2 linked regions of the Daphnia pulex genome follow. The protein of the gene in region 2 interacts with the protein of the main gene of each other region in a pairwise test. Links are inferred from orthologs where the notes say so. Each region holds a gene or a part of one and is shown on either strand. Other genes may lie near its edges.

Region 1 (5,687 bases), on a different chromosome or scaffold from region 2:
CGAATGCAATAAACCAACATATAAACATCAACTAATGACAACTGCATAATGAGTCACCCTATAATAATAAACCAACATACCCATTTTTAGACTGCTAGACATTATGTTGTGCGACCCTTAGCGGACACCAATGAGCAATCACTGCCCAAAAATGCTTTGATTTTGAGCAATACTCAAGCTGAACGATGCAAATTCAATTCAATGACTCGTCTTTATCGATTTTAATCCTCGAAAAACTTTTCGTGGGCAGGGCCAGTTTTTAGTTAGCTGCCATGTTGAATACGATGCCTGCTGAGTTGCCATTTACTTTAAAGGCTAGAGCGGAGCTGACGAGAAATAAAATGTGAAATTTACATTGTAAAAAAAGTTTAGAATTTATAGAGGATTGATCCATCAATTTTGGTCATTGGAATGATTTCCGCGCATGCAATATCGTAACAGATTACGATTATTGCACTGTTGCATTTTCAAATAGTTGCTCAGCCAAGAGGGAACTAAGAGACTTATTTCTATTTATGCTGTACTTCATTTAGCTAGTTTGACTAGTATCCACGAGCCGCAGGTGAAACCATCCCAATCTTTCCACCTCATGATGATCGGGTACCATAACCACTGGACCACGCCAGTAATATCATTTATGAATTTTTTTTACTACACATTAAATTGTTTTATTCACATTTTATTTTTGCGGAGCTGACGAGTCTTTTATAATTTTTTTTAAATTGATGATTATTTATTTTCCGGTAATCATATTCAGTTTACATTAAATTCGAAAATTTCTATGCGTTTCCAAATGCGGGTTTAAAATAACAAATAATTTGTCTTGAAAATGGTATTGTTTTATTGTGCATTGACGAATTAATCGTGGCGCAGTTTAATCAAGATATTATTCCATAATGTCGCGCTTTGCTCATAAAGTCCGATCGGGAATAATAACAACCTCTCAATACTCTTTCACCCTGATAACTTTCACGCCCATGCAAGAGCCTCCAGTTATCAATTATCATCACGGTTCCTGGTGAGAGACGAAACCGATATTCGTTTTCTTTTTTCTTTACGAGCGTCGCCATGGTTTTTAGATAACGATAATGGGTACCGACTTCCTCTTGTGGGATACCAGAAAGAGGCGACCGATCTAGCATGTTGAACCTGAATAAAGAATAAATTTACTGTAATTAAAATAGAAACGCCTTTTTATTCAGACAAAAGTATCTTACCGAATCTGTTCCAACTTATGGCTCACTGGATGATGACGGAAGATGGGACCCCAAGAAGAGAAATGCTCACCTGGTTCAATATACTCGGCTTCCATATTTACTTTGGACAAATAATCGTAGGCAGAAGGATCAAGCTGTTTTAACTGCTTAGCCACGTGAAATCCGTCTACCAAGAAAGATTCGCAACCCGTCCCATTGAAATGAGTACAATGAAAAACCAAAAGCCTAAAACAATGAACGGATAGGATAGAAAAGGATAAATTCAGTTCAAAAATAAGAATTAAATCAACAAGAAAAGAGGGAAATCCATACCCTTGCGCTTCAGTAAAATAAGTGTTGTCTGTATGGGCTTCTAAATAGCCGTTCAGGTAACCCGTATCCTTATGGTCGAAATTGGTACCGGTTTCCCAAAACTTTCCAAAGACCGTGTGGGACATACGGCAGATACGCTCGATAACCGCGCTGGTGTCAAGTTTCGTTGGTGGTACTTGCTCTATTTTGACGAAGCCGTACTGAAAGACCCGGCGATATATTTCACGTAATATTTTATCATCACTCATCAGGCGTTGATGCGAAATGGGCTCTAAACCCAATAAATTCACGGTAGTTCCATCCCATGTAGTCAATCGGTCCGTCTCTTCTTGTAGTGCTTTGTACTTCCCGTCGTAAGTATTGCTAACAAGCCACGGGATTGAATAAGATGACTTATGCCCGTCAGACCCTATGAAACAAAGCAAAATAGGAGAGTAGAAATTTGTAATTATTGAATTTCTTGTTATGCAGTTATCTTAAATGGGAGGACTTACAGCAAATGTGCAATAAACCGTCGCTCTGTGAATAAGTTGATATCGCAATTTGATCACTCAATTTCAGGATATCGTTGTTTCTTTGACAGGTAACGTCGTTATAGCATTCTGGACACCTGCATACAGGAGAAAATATATCGAACAAGCTCCACATCACCTTTGGCGCGCTGCCGACCGCTCAAATAGAAAAAATGCTCCGGATGTGATATTTTTATATAATGACTTACCTACAGTGGTCTCGAAGCCAGATGGGGTGCAGCTTCAATGGTGCGCTAGTGTTGGGTAAATGTACATTCAGCAATTTTGGCCGGTCATAATGTTCGTTTTCTAGTAATTGAAAACTTGGTTGATTATTATGTTAACCATAATTTAAAAAATGAGACAAATCCGAAAAAGTCTCTAAACAAATTTCCATCGAATAATAATTGACTCTATTAATCATTCTGTATTTAATATGAGTTTAGAAAGCAAATAATATTTTATAACTGAAAGAAATTTTTTTACACTATTGAAAATGAACATATAGCGATGACGATTACCGAAAATTACTGATTTAGGTATAAGATCATTCTGGGGTGTAACTTACAATAAAAATGTCCCGCTATGTCGTGAGATAAAGACCGGATCTCACAAAAGAACTGTTAAATCTATAGTTCTATACTAGACCTACCTTGAATCTGAAGGTTACTTCCAGAAGAATATTTGCACAATATTTTCAAGGGGACTCTTTTAGTAGGCAGTAAAGTATTCTTTAAAAATCCAGAAGGCAATTTGGGCAGGATGGTTTTGAATTTTAAGATACTCATTTCTAAGCATCAAATAATAATGTTATAGCTTGTTTCTACTTGGGTGTTCACTTACAACTAAAACTGTAAGTTCACTGCCACTGTATCTACATCTGGATTATATGGCAGTTTTATTCAATGACCTAATAAAGATATTAAACATTTGGTCAAAGAACCAAACAAATTATCAGAAGCAATTCACCTTTGGAACTTGGAAGGGGGGCAAAGAACGCAACAATATGTGACGCACAGAAGGTATTTTACCCACAGATAGGCATGAAAAGTGATACAATAACTTCTTAATACCCTTGAATGGACACGTAGATTAATAGCTGTAGAAGGTTATCTAGAACTACAAACTTAGTTTGGGAAAATACCTTTGACAAGGTTTTTACTTTAATCCACTTTCAAATTTTTTCACGTTCAGGATATGCAGACGAAAATGAGATGGCGGTATTTACTAATTACTATTCCTGTTCTGTATGTGTTGCAAACTTGCCGCTTCTACAAATGAATCCGTACTGCACAGTCGGCACTCTATAGTCAGACTGTCAAGAGTTTTTAAAAACATTTTTTTTGTTTAAACAACAAAATCAACTACAGGGCGTGATCAGGCTTTATCTATGCTTGTTAAATATTTAAAGGGGTTCGTTGTAAATCTTCTGTTTCTCCTCTGTTCATCATGCTGTGAGTTTCTAAGCGAATATGAAATTATAAGACTAATATGTGCTTAATACGGTTGTAGTGTCCCAGTTCGCTTATAAGAATTAAGCAGTTAATTTAAGTTTAAGTAATATCTAATGGGAAAAAATGATACGGCATTCAGTCTGGTAACAATACTTCAAGTCAAAATTGAACCCCGTAATATTTTGTCAATCCATGGATCAAAGGTAATGTTATTTAATATTGATCGTAATGATGTAGTCGATAAAGATAAGCGGACCCGTTGTTTAGTCCCGCAGCCATGTAGCCTCCATTGGGAGAGAAATCCATCGTGTTTATACGAGCAGTGCCCTTATTCTGGATTGGGAAATTCTTGAAGACCGTCATTGATGGAAAGTGAGCCAGTCTGACGGCATTTTCTTTTTCGGAGGAAAATATGGATACAATTTCAGAACTTGGATGAAAGGTAATGCCGGATATCTTCGTCACTAAATTCAGAATCACTGCAAAATAATAATTAAAAAAAAAAAAATTATTTCACGGAGAGATTTTGGCAAAGAGAAATAGGCATTTACCTTTATCGGGTTTCGGGAGTGAATTATTTTCTAGCTGACTAGTGTTGTACAAGTTAACAACACCAGAAGAAGAACCACAAGCGAGATACTGCTGTGTAGGTGAAATAGCAATAGACGTTCCCTTAATACACCCGTCATCTACGAACTTATGGACACACACTTTAGCGTTCATATCCCACACATAAACTTCACCATTTTCTGGGAGAAAAAATTATTATTTAAAATTTCGAATGATTCGAGTAGTTTTTTTTTTTACCTCCATGACTATACAATCTAGTGCCATCTACGTTAAAAGTCAAGGCATGCACTTCTCCATTCATTTTTAAAGATGTAATCCATTCCTTAGAACGTGCGCTCATTAAATGAATATATCCATATTGACCTTGATAAGCTATTAGCTTCCCGTCGGGTGAAAGAACGAAGTCCTGTAAAATACAACCGAATAAACACTTTTAGACACTTGACTTGCAACATTAGAAATTAAAAATTTTTACTTTGTACGATCCCTTTTCCATTTGCTTGTTATGGGGAATGATTGTGTTCCTTCCATTCACCAAGTTATGTACTTGAATATTGCCTGTCACGCTCGAGGAAGCTATGACTTCTTCCCCATTCGCCGAGAAGCGAGCCTTGTGAATGGGAAATTCCTTGAAGGTGATTGACTGAATTTTAGCATTCAAAGATCCGCCAACCTAAATTTAAAAAATAATAATTACTTATAAGTAACTCACATAGCATATGACAAGTGTAATATAAAATACCTGGAAAAGTGTAAGTACTCCAGAATTTCCTCCTACAAGAGCAACACTTTGCTTTTTATGGAATTCGACAGAACTGATGACCCGTCCTTCTGCTCTAGTTTCTTTATTGATATCTAACATTCGCGAAAATTTAATTATTTCTTGCGGCAAAGAAATAGAATCCTTCCTTAAAAGATCTGTGGCGGTCTAGATATAAAGTGACAAAATAGTATCATTAAGAAGATCATGCAACTCCAGTTACAATTTAAGTTTTACTTTGGTCAGATCCTCTTTTTCATCGTCACTGTCCTGGTCTTTTTTTCCCTTTTTATTCTCTAGTTGAGCCCATTTAGGAGTAACCTGACCATGAATAGATGCAAACCTTTTCTCCAGGACCTGTTTGTATACAGTTTCTGAAGTGGCCTTTTCACCAACCAGTCCCTTTTCTTTTTGAAACTGTACATTTTTACACCTATTAGAATACAAATAAATCAATATAAAATGACAAACAATTATTTAAATAAATAGTGTGATATCTTACTTTAAATCTTCATCATCTTCATCAACCCAGACTGCTTGCCTTCCTGCTGTTGAACTTAAACCTAGATTTTTACCATAGACATCTTCTGGAAGGGAATCTTTCGCTTCACTAGATGCTTTGTTGGAGATTTGTTTTCTCAATTTTTTTTTTGAAGCAGAACTTTTGCTCGTATCTTTTTTAGACTGGGGTTCTTGTTCCAGTTTCTTAAACAATTCCCCAAATAGCAACTCTTCCAGTCTCTTTTCTTCTCTTTCCCTATAGTCAATGCCCAAGACTTGAGGTTTGGATTGTTTCAACTTCTTACTTTTTGGCTCCTCATGAAGATCTTCATTTTCATCAACATTTGGTAAATCATATCCA
Region 2 (4,689 bases):
TGGATCGAGTGAGGTTTCCTAACTATACTGGGACCACCCGTCACTTTTTGACTAAGTGGCTGCATTTGCCTTTTGTAGCAAGACCCACTTAGGAAATAAAAATAACAAAGAAAATAAAAAATATGATGCATATGCAGAATAAGTTTGTGTTTCATACCAATAAAGTTTCGATCGCTCTACAAAAGCGTACGAATCGCCATCTCCAATAAAACAACGACAGGAACTACACTGAAAGCACTCTGGGTGAAATTTGTGGTCACCAGCAACCATGACAGGACCACCAGTTATCAACTAAACAATGACAGATAAGGTTATTGCTCCTGAACCCAAAAAATAGCAATTACCTGAGAACACTGTTGGCACGACTGTCCATATTTTGCCCAATAGTGCATTTGGCAGAATAAAATATCACCTTTCTCAAAGTACCAATCTGAGAGGGTTTCATCACACACAGAGCACCTACATTTGATAACAAATTGAGAATTAAGTATCTTGACAGATGCAAAGGGATTAAATAGCTGAAATTTTAACAGCTGTAAGACAAACATATACCTGAAACAGTCACTGTGCCACTCTTTATTTAGAGCTTCAATGTACTCATTATCATGGATATGATTAAGGCAGGCAGAGCAAACATTTTGTTTAGTCACATCGTCTATCAGAGAAAAACAAAACAAATCAAGTTAATTTAATAAAACAACACTCACACGATTATAAAACAATCTATAGTTCTACAGTCAAATCATGCATTCAACACATTTATCATATTTATTACTGTCTTAAGCTGTATTTCTAATCCAAATACTGATAAAGCATGAATCACGACAGCGTGCAAACAAAATTTACTGAATCAATGACACCTCCCTTAGTCCCTATCTTTACAAAAAACATATTTCACAATTATCATATTTGTTTTGGATTCAAATATGATAAAATTTGGGAAACTACTAAATTGCATCTCTACTTTTTAGATAAATCCATCAAAGATTAAGAGTCATCTTAAATAATACCGAGTGTTTCGAAACAGAAAACAGATTGATAACAAACCTCTAGTTTCCATGTTCATGAAGGAATCTCCATTCTCTAATGTAACATCTGTCGTGAATTCCAAATGTAACTCTCGGGATTCGGATTTGTGGGGAGATATAGTGCGGGAAATGGATGCGGATAGTTAATCACCCAATGGCCTTCGTCGGAACCCTATGATCCCATCCCTTGTTGCGCGCGCGAGTTTTTCTCTAGGACCGACCCGCTTTGAATGTTTTTAAATCTGTTTTATTCTATTTATTTAACTTGGAGAAGTATTTTGGACACGGAACATGGTTGACCACTAGTTACTCAAGAAGTCCAGATAACAGAAGGCAGACATTCAGATGAAGCATACAGTTATCTTAAATTATTCAGTATGATTAGCCGGCCTGTAAGGAGGAATTGCGTAATGTAACTGAATTATTTTGCTGGGGATTCCCATTTTTAGGGTGACAGTGCTGTTCAGGCGATGGAAATAGTAATGACAATAGAGTGACTTGATTAAATTCAAATTAAGATGTGCACTCATCGCGCTAATCATTATCATAATCACCTTTCGCGCATTTCAACAGTGTTCTAATTTAACAACTGCTATTTATTCTTATCAATTACGATATATCAACTTGCATGTTAGTTAGAAAAAGCGTATAAAAATTGTTGTTTGATTTCTAAGCTCTCCCTATCACTCTGAGAGGACAGCGCCATCTTATCGAATGGTGGACATTATGGACAACTTAGTTTGAGATAGAAGCATAGAACTTTCCGGAAAATCTAGAAGGTTATTTTATTTTTATATGTTCTACTTTTATGAGTATTTTAAATTAATGAGCACATTTTTCCCTATTAAAAAATAACAGAGTAGGTAGCGCAGTGTAGCCGACTCCCAAGTCCCAGTTCCAGTCGACTCAAGTTTCGAATTCCGTAAATTATAATTCCGCATTCACTTTCCCGTAAATTATACAGCCAAAGCCCAAAACATCAGCCAATCAGCTGTCATTGAAGTCGTCTGATGCACGTGGGTATAAATTGTGGTACAAAAATGTTGTGCCATTCACTAACACATCAATCAAAATGGTTTCGTGTGAATTCATCTTTAAGAGTGTTAACATTGAGATACTTTTCCCAAGAATCTCCATCACCGGGATTTCGTTCACCGTCACAGCGTATTCCGTCTACGCCGGCTATACAAAGTGAATTGGTTAGAACCCCATCTGAATATGTGAAAGGTTCCCGCGTATTGCAAGTTGCAATTCTTGGCATACCGAATGCCGGTAAAAGTACTCTAGTCAATCAACTTTCTGGATGGCAGACATGCTCAGTTTCCAAAAAAGTTCACACAACCAAAAAGATGTCGAAAACTGTGTTAATCAGAGATGAAACTCAAATTGTTTTCCTCGACACTCCAGGGCTGGTTCTACCTGCTGAAGCCAAACAGTAGGATATATTATTGTTAAATAACAATTATTCTTAAAATATTTGTATAATTAACATTAGAACATTTCCTTTTCAGGTTTAATCTTGATAAATCCTTTGTAATTGATCCTGAAGTTGCACTATCTAAAGCAAATTTACTTTTGGTCTTGCATGACATCAGTAACAAATGGACAAGAGGAAGTTTGAGTTCAAAAATCCTTAGACTTCTCCATCTCTATCCCGACAAAGAATCGGTTTTAGTATTGAATAAAATTGATTTATTAAAGGAAAAGCGCCTCCTTCTAGACTACACTAACAAATTGACGGAAGGCATAGTTGGTGGTAAATCAATAGCATCAAATACTGATCCACGAAAACGAAGAATGAGTCGGCAAAACAGTGACATGTCCACTGTCAATGAAAGCAACACAGAGTTATCGGAACCCACCAATTCACGAAGTATGTCAGAGAAGGAAGTGGCAAAAAGGATCGAAGGAAAGATGGGTTGGCCCAACTTTTCTCGTGTGTTTATGATATCTGCCATTGACGGAGACGGAGTTTCGGACATAGTGGTTCGTAATTATCGGTAGATTAAAATTTTAATTTTTTATACCCAAATTTCTTTCTCAAAGGAACATCTGTATGGAGCTGCTAAGCCAGGTCGGTGGATGTACAATTCTTCGGTAGTAACGGATCAAAACCCTCATGAAATGGCAATTGCCATAATAAGAGGTAAACTACTAGATATTCTGGATAAAGAATTGCCATATTCGATTAATACATCTGTTCGATACTGGGAAGAAGATTTATCAGGTAAATAAAAATAAAACTATTATAGAGGATTAGTTGTGGTACATTTTCATATACGGCATAGGTACCTTGAACATCGTGATGGCTTTAGATTGTCAGAAAAAATTCACTGCTAAAGTAGTTGTCGGCACTGGTGGTCGCACTGTAATTCAGCTCGCTAGAGAAGCAGAACAAGATTTGAGAAACATGTTCCGTCAAGAAGTTCGTCTTAAAATCGTTGTAGAACCGGCGTAAAGAAAAGTAATAAAAGAATGTATGTAATTCTTGGTCGTGTACAATTGACGTGTATTCAAAATTGGTGTTGTGTTCTTCTCACTTTCATGATGTCTTTACAGAACTAAAGCAGAAGACGTGTCTCTTCGATGGGGTAGGACAAAATCTCAAAAAGATATAATCTTAACAACCCTTGTTCAGGATTTTTCTTAATTTTTTAAATTATCTGTTGAGGAGGTGGTTGAGGTTGGAAAAACGGCTCATCAAACAGAGCTCGGTATTTGGGTCTCAATCTGCATTCAGGACAATAATAAGTTCCTTCGGGTGCTTCTGAAATGCCAACACACTCAAAGTGGAACCATTCATAGGGACAATCACTAGCGTCACAGCCAATCATTTGTGAAACTTCATCGTAAGGACATCGGCAATAGCAGTAAAGTCTGTCAGGATCTTCAAACGAAGGTACTGGATGTATGGGTGTTTTCATCACCTTCGCCGGAGAGAGTGGAGGCGGTGGAGGAATTGCGTCATAGTTGTGAGTAAATTTTAATTTCGCAGTCGTTCGCCCCGGCTTTTTCGAGATGGTTTTCACTTTTTTAGTTGAAGCGGCCGGGTTGATTTTTTCTTCCAAACTGTCACCCTCGTACCAGTAGAGATCGTCGTTCCGTTTACGCCGACCTCGTCCACGCTTAGAGTCGGATCTCTGCTCTACATTAACTGCCGGAGGTGGCGGTGCCATAGTGATCTCCTTTACAGGAAGTGGCATGATGTTTAACATCGGAATCGGCTCTTTTTTCCTCTTGAGAGACCGCTTGTAGAGACCGCTAGCCACCGCGTTGATGATGTCGTCGACTGTGTTGCCAGTTGAAGGCAACTGGTGATCTAAAATCCAAAAAAAGCGAATCGTTAATAGTCTATTTTCTTAAGTAAACGACTAATTAAAAACCAAATACCTTCCAAATTGAAGTTCAGTGACGATTCTTTCAAGGCTCGTCTCTTCTTTTTCTTCTTCTTTCGCTTCTTTTGAGAATCACTCCGAGCTTTAGGTGATGCAAACCTCGACCGCTTCTTGTTCTCCGAATCGGAATCACTTGTTTCTAGGTCCGATTCGTGCACACTGATATCGGCATCCGATTCGACCCCATTTTCGGAATCTGAGGAGGATTCCAAGGAACTTGGAGGTTCGCTATTGTTTTCAATGTCAACATCCGCCTCATCTCCTTC

The links.
Region 1: the proteins of GTPase Era, mitochondrial-like (region 2) and trimethyllysine dioxygenase, mitochondrial-like interact in a two-hybrid assay, tested with the Drosophila melanogaster proteins (2 studies listed by BioGRID). The link is inferred for Daphnia pulex from reciprocal best matches to the Drosophila melanogaster genes CG7488 and Tmlh.

Annotation. Positions count from the first base shown.
Region 1 is NC_060024.1:8,486,830-8,492,516, forward strand, and holds trimethyllysine dioxygenase, mitochondrial-like, read right to left. Parts: upstream 3,513-5,687; 5' UTR 3,186-3,512; exon of another isoform or gene 3,011-3,185; intron 2,952-3,010; exon of another isoform or gene 2,832-2,951; 5' UTR 2,830-2,831; coding exon 2,694-2,829; intron 2,351-2,693; coding exon 2,251-2,350; intron 2,140-2,250; coding exon 2,024-2,139; intron 1,939-2,023; coding exon 1,530-1,938; intron 1,443-1,529; coding exon 1,218-1,442; intron 1,150-1,217; coding exon 879-1,149; 3' UTR 818-878; downstream 1-817. Other genes in the region: cytoplasmic protein NCK1-like, read right to left, coding at 81-102; U3 small nucleolar RNA-associated protein 18 homolog, read right to left, coding at 3,709-3,974, 4,047-4,244, 4,303-4,471, 4,541-4,738, 4,808-4,993, 5,063-5,258, 5,328-5,687.
Region 2 is NC_060021.1:6,372,704-6,377,392, forward strand, and holds GTPase Era, mitochondrial-like, read left to right. Parts: upstream 1-1,933; 5' UTR 1,934-2,038; coding exon 2,039-2,463; intron 2,464-2,539; coding exon 2,540-3,014; intron 3,015-3,074; coding exon 3,075-3,255; intron 3,256-3,316; coding exon 3,317-3,486; 3' UTR 3,487-3,513; downstream 3,514-4,689. Other genes in the region: LIM domain kinase 1-like, read right to left, coding at 1-87, 158-291, 345-459, 553-655, 1,048-1,066; uncharacterized protein LOC124193405, read right to left, coding at 3,683-4,347, 4,419-4,689.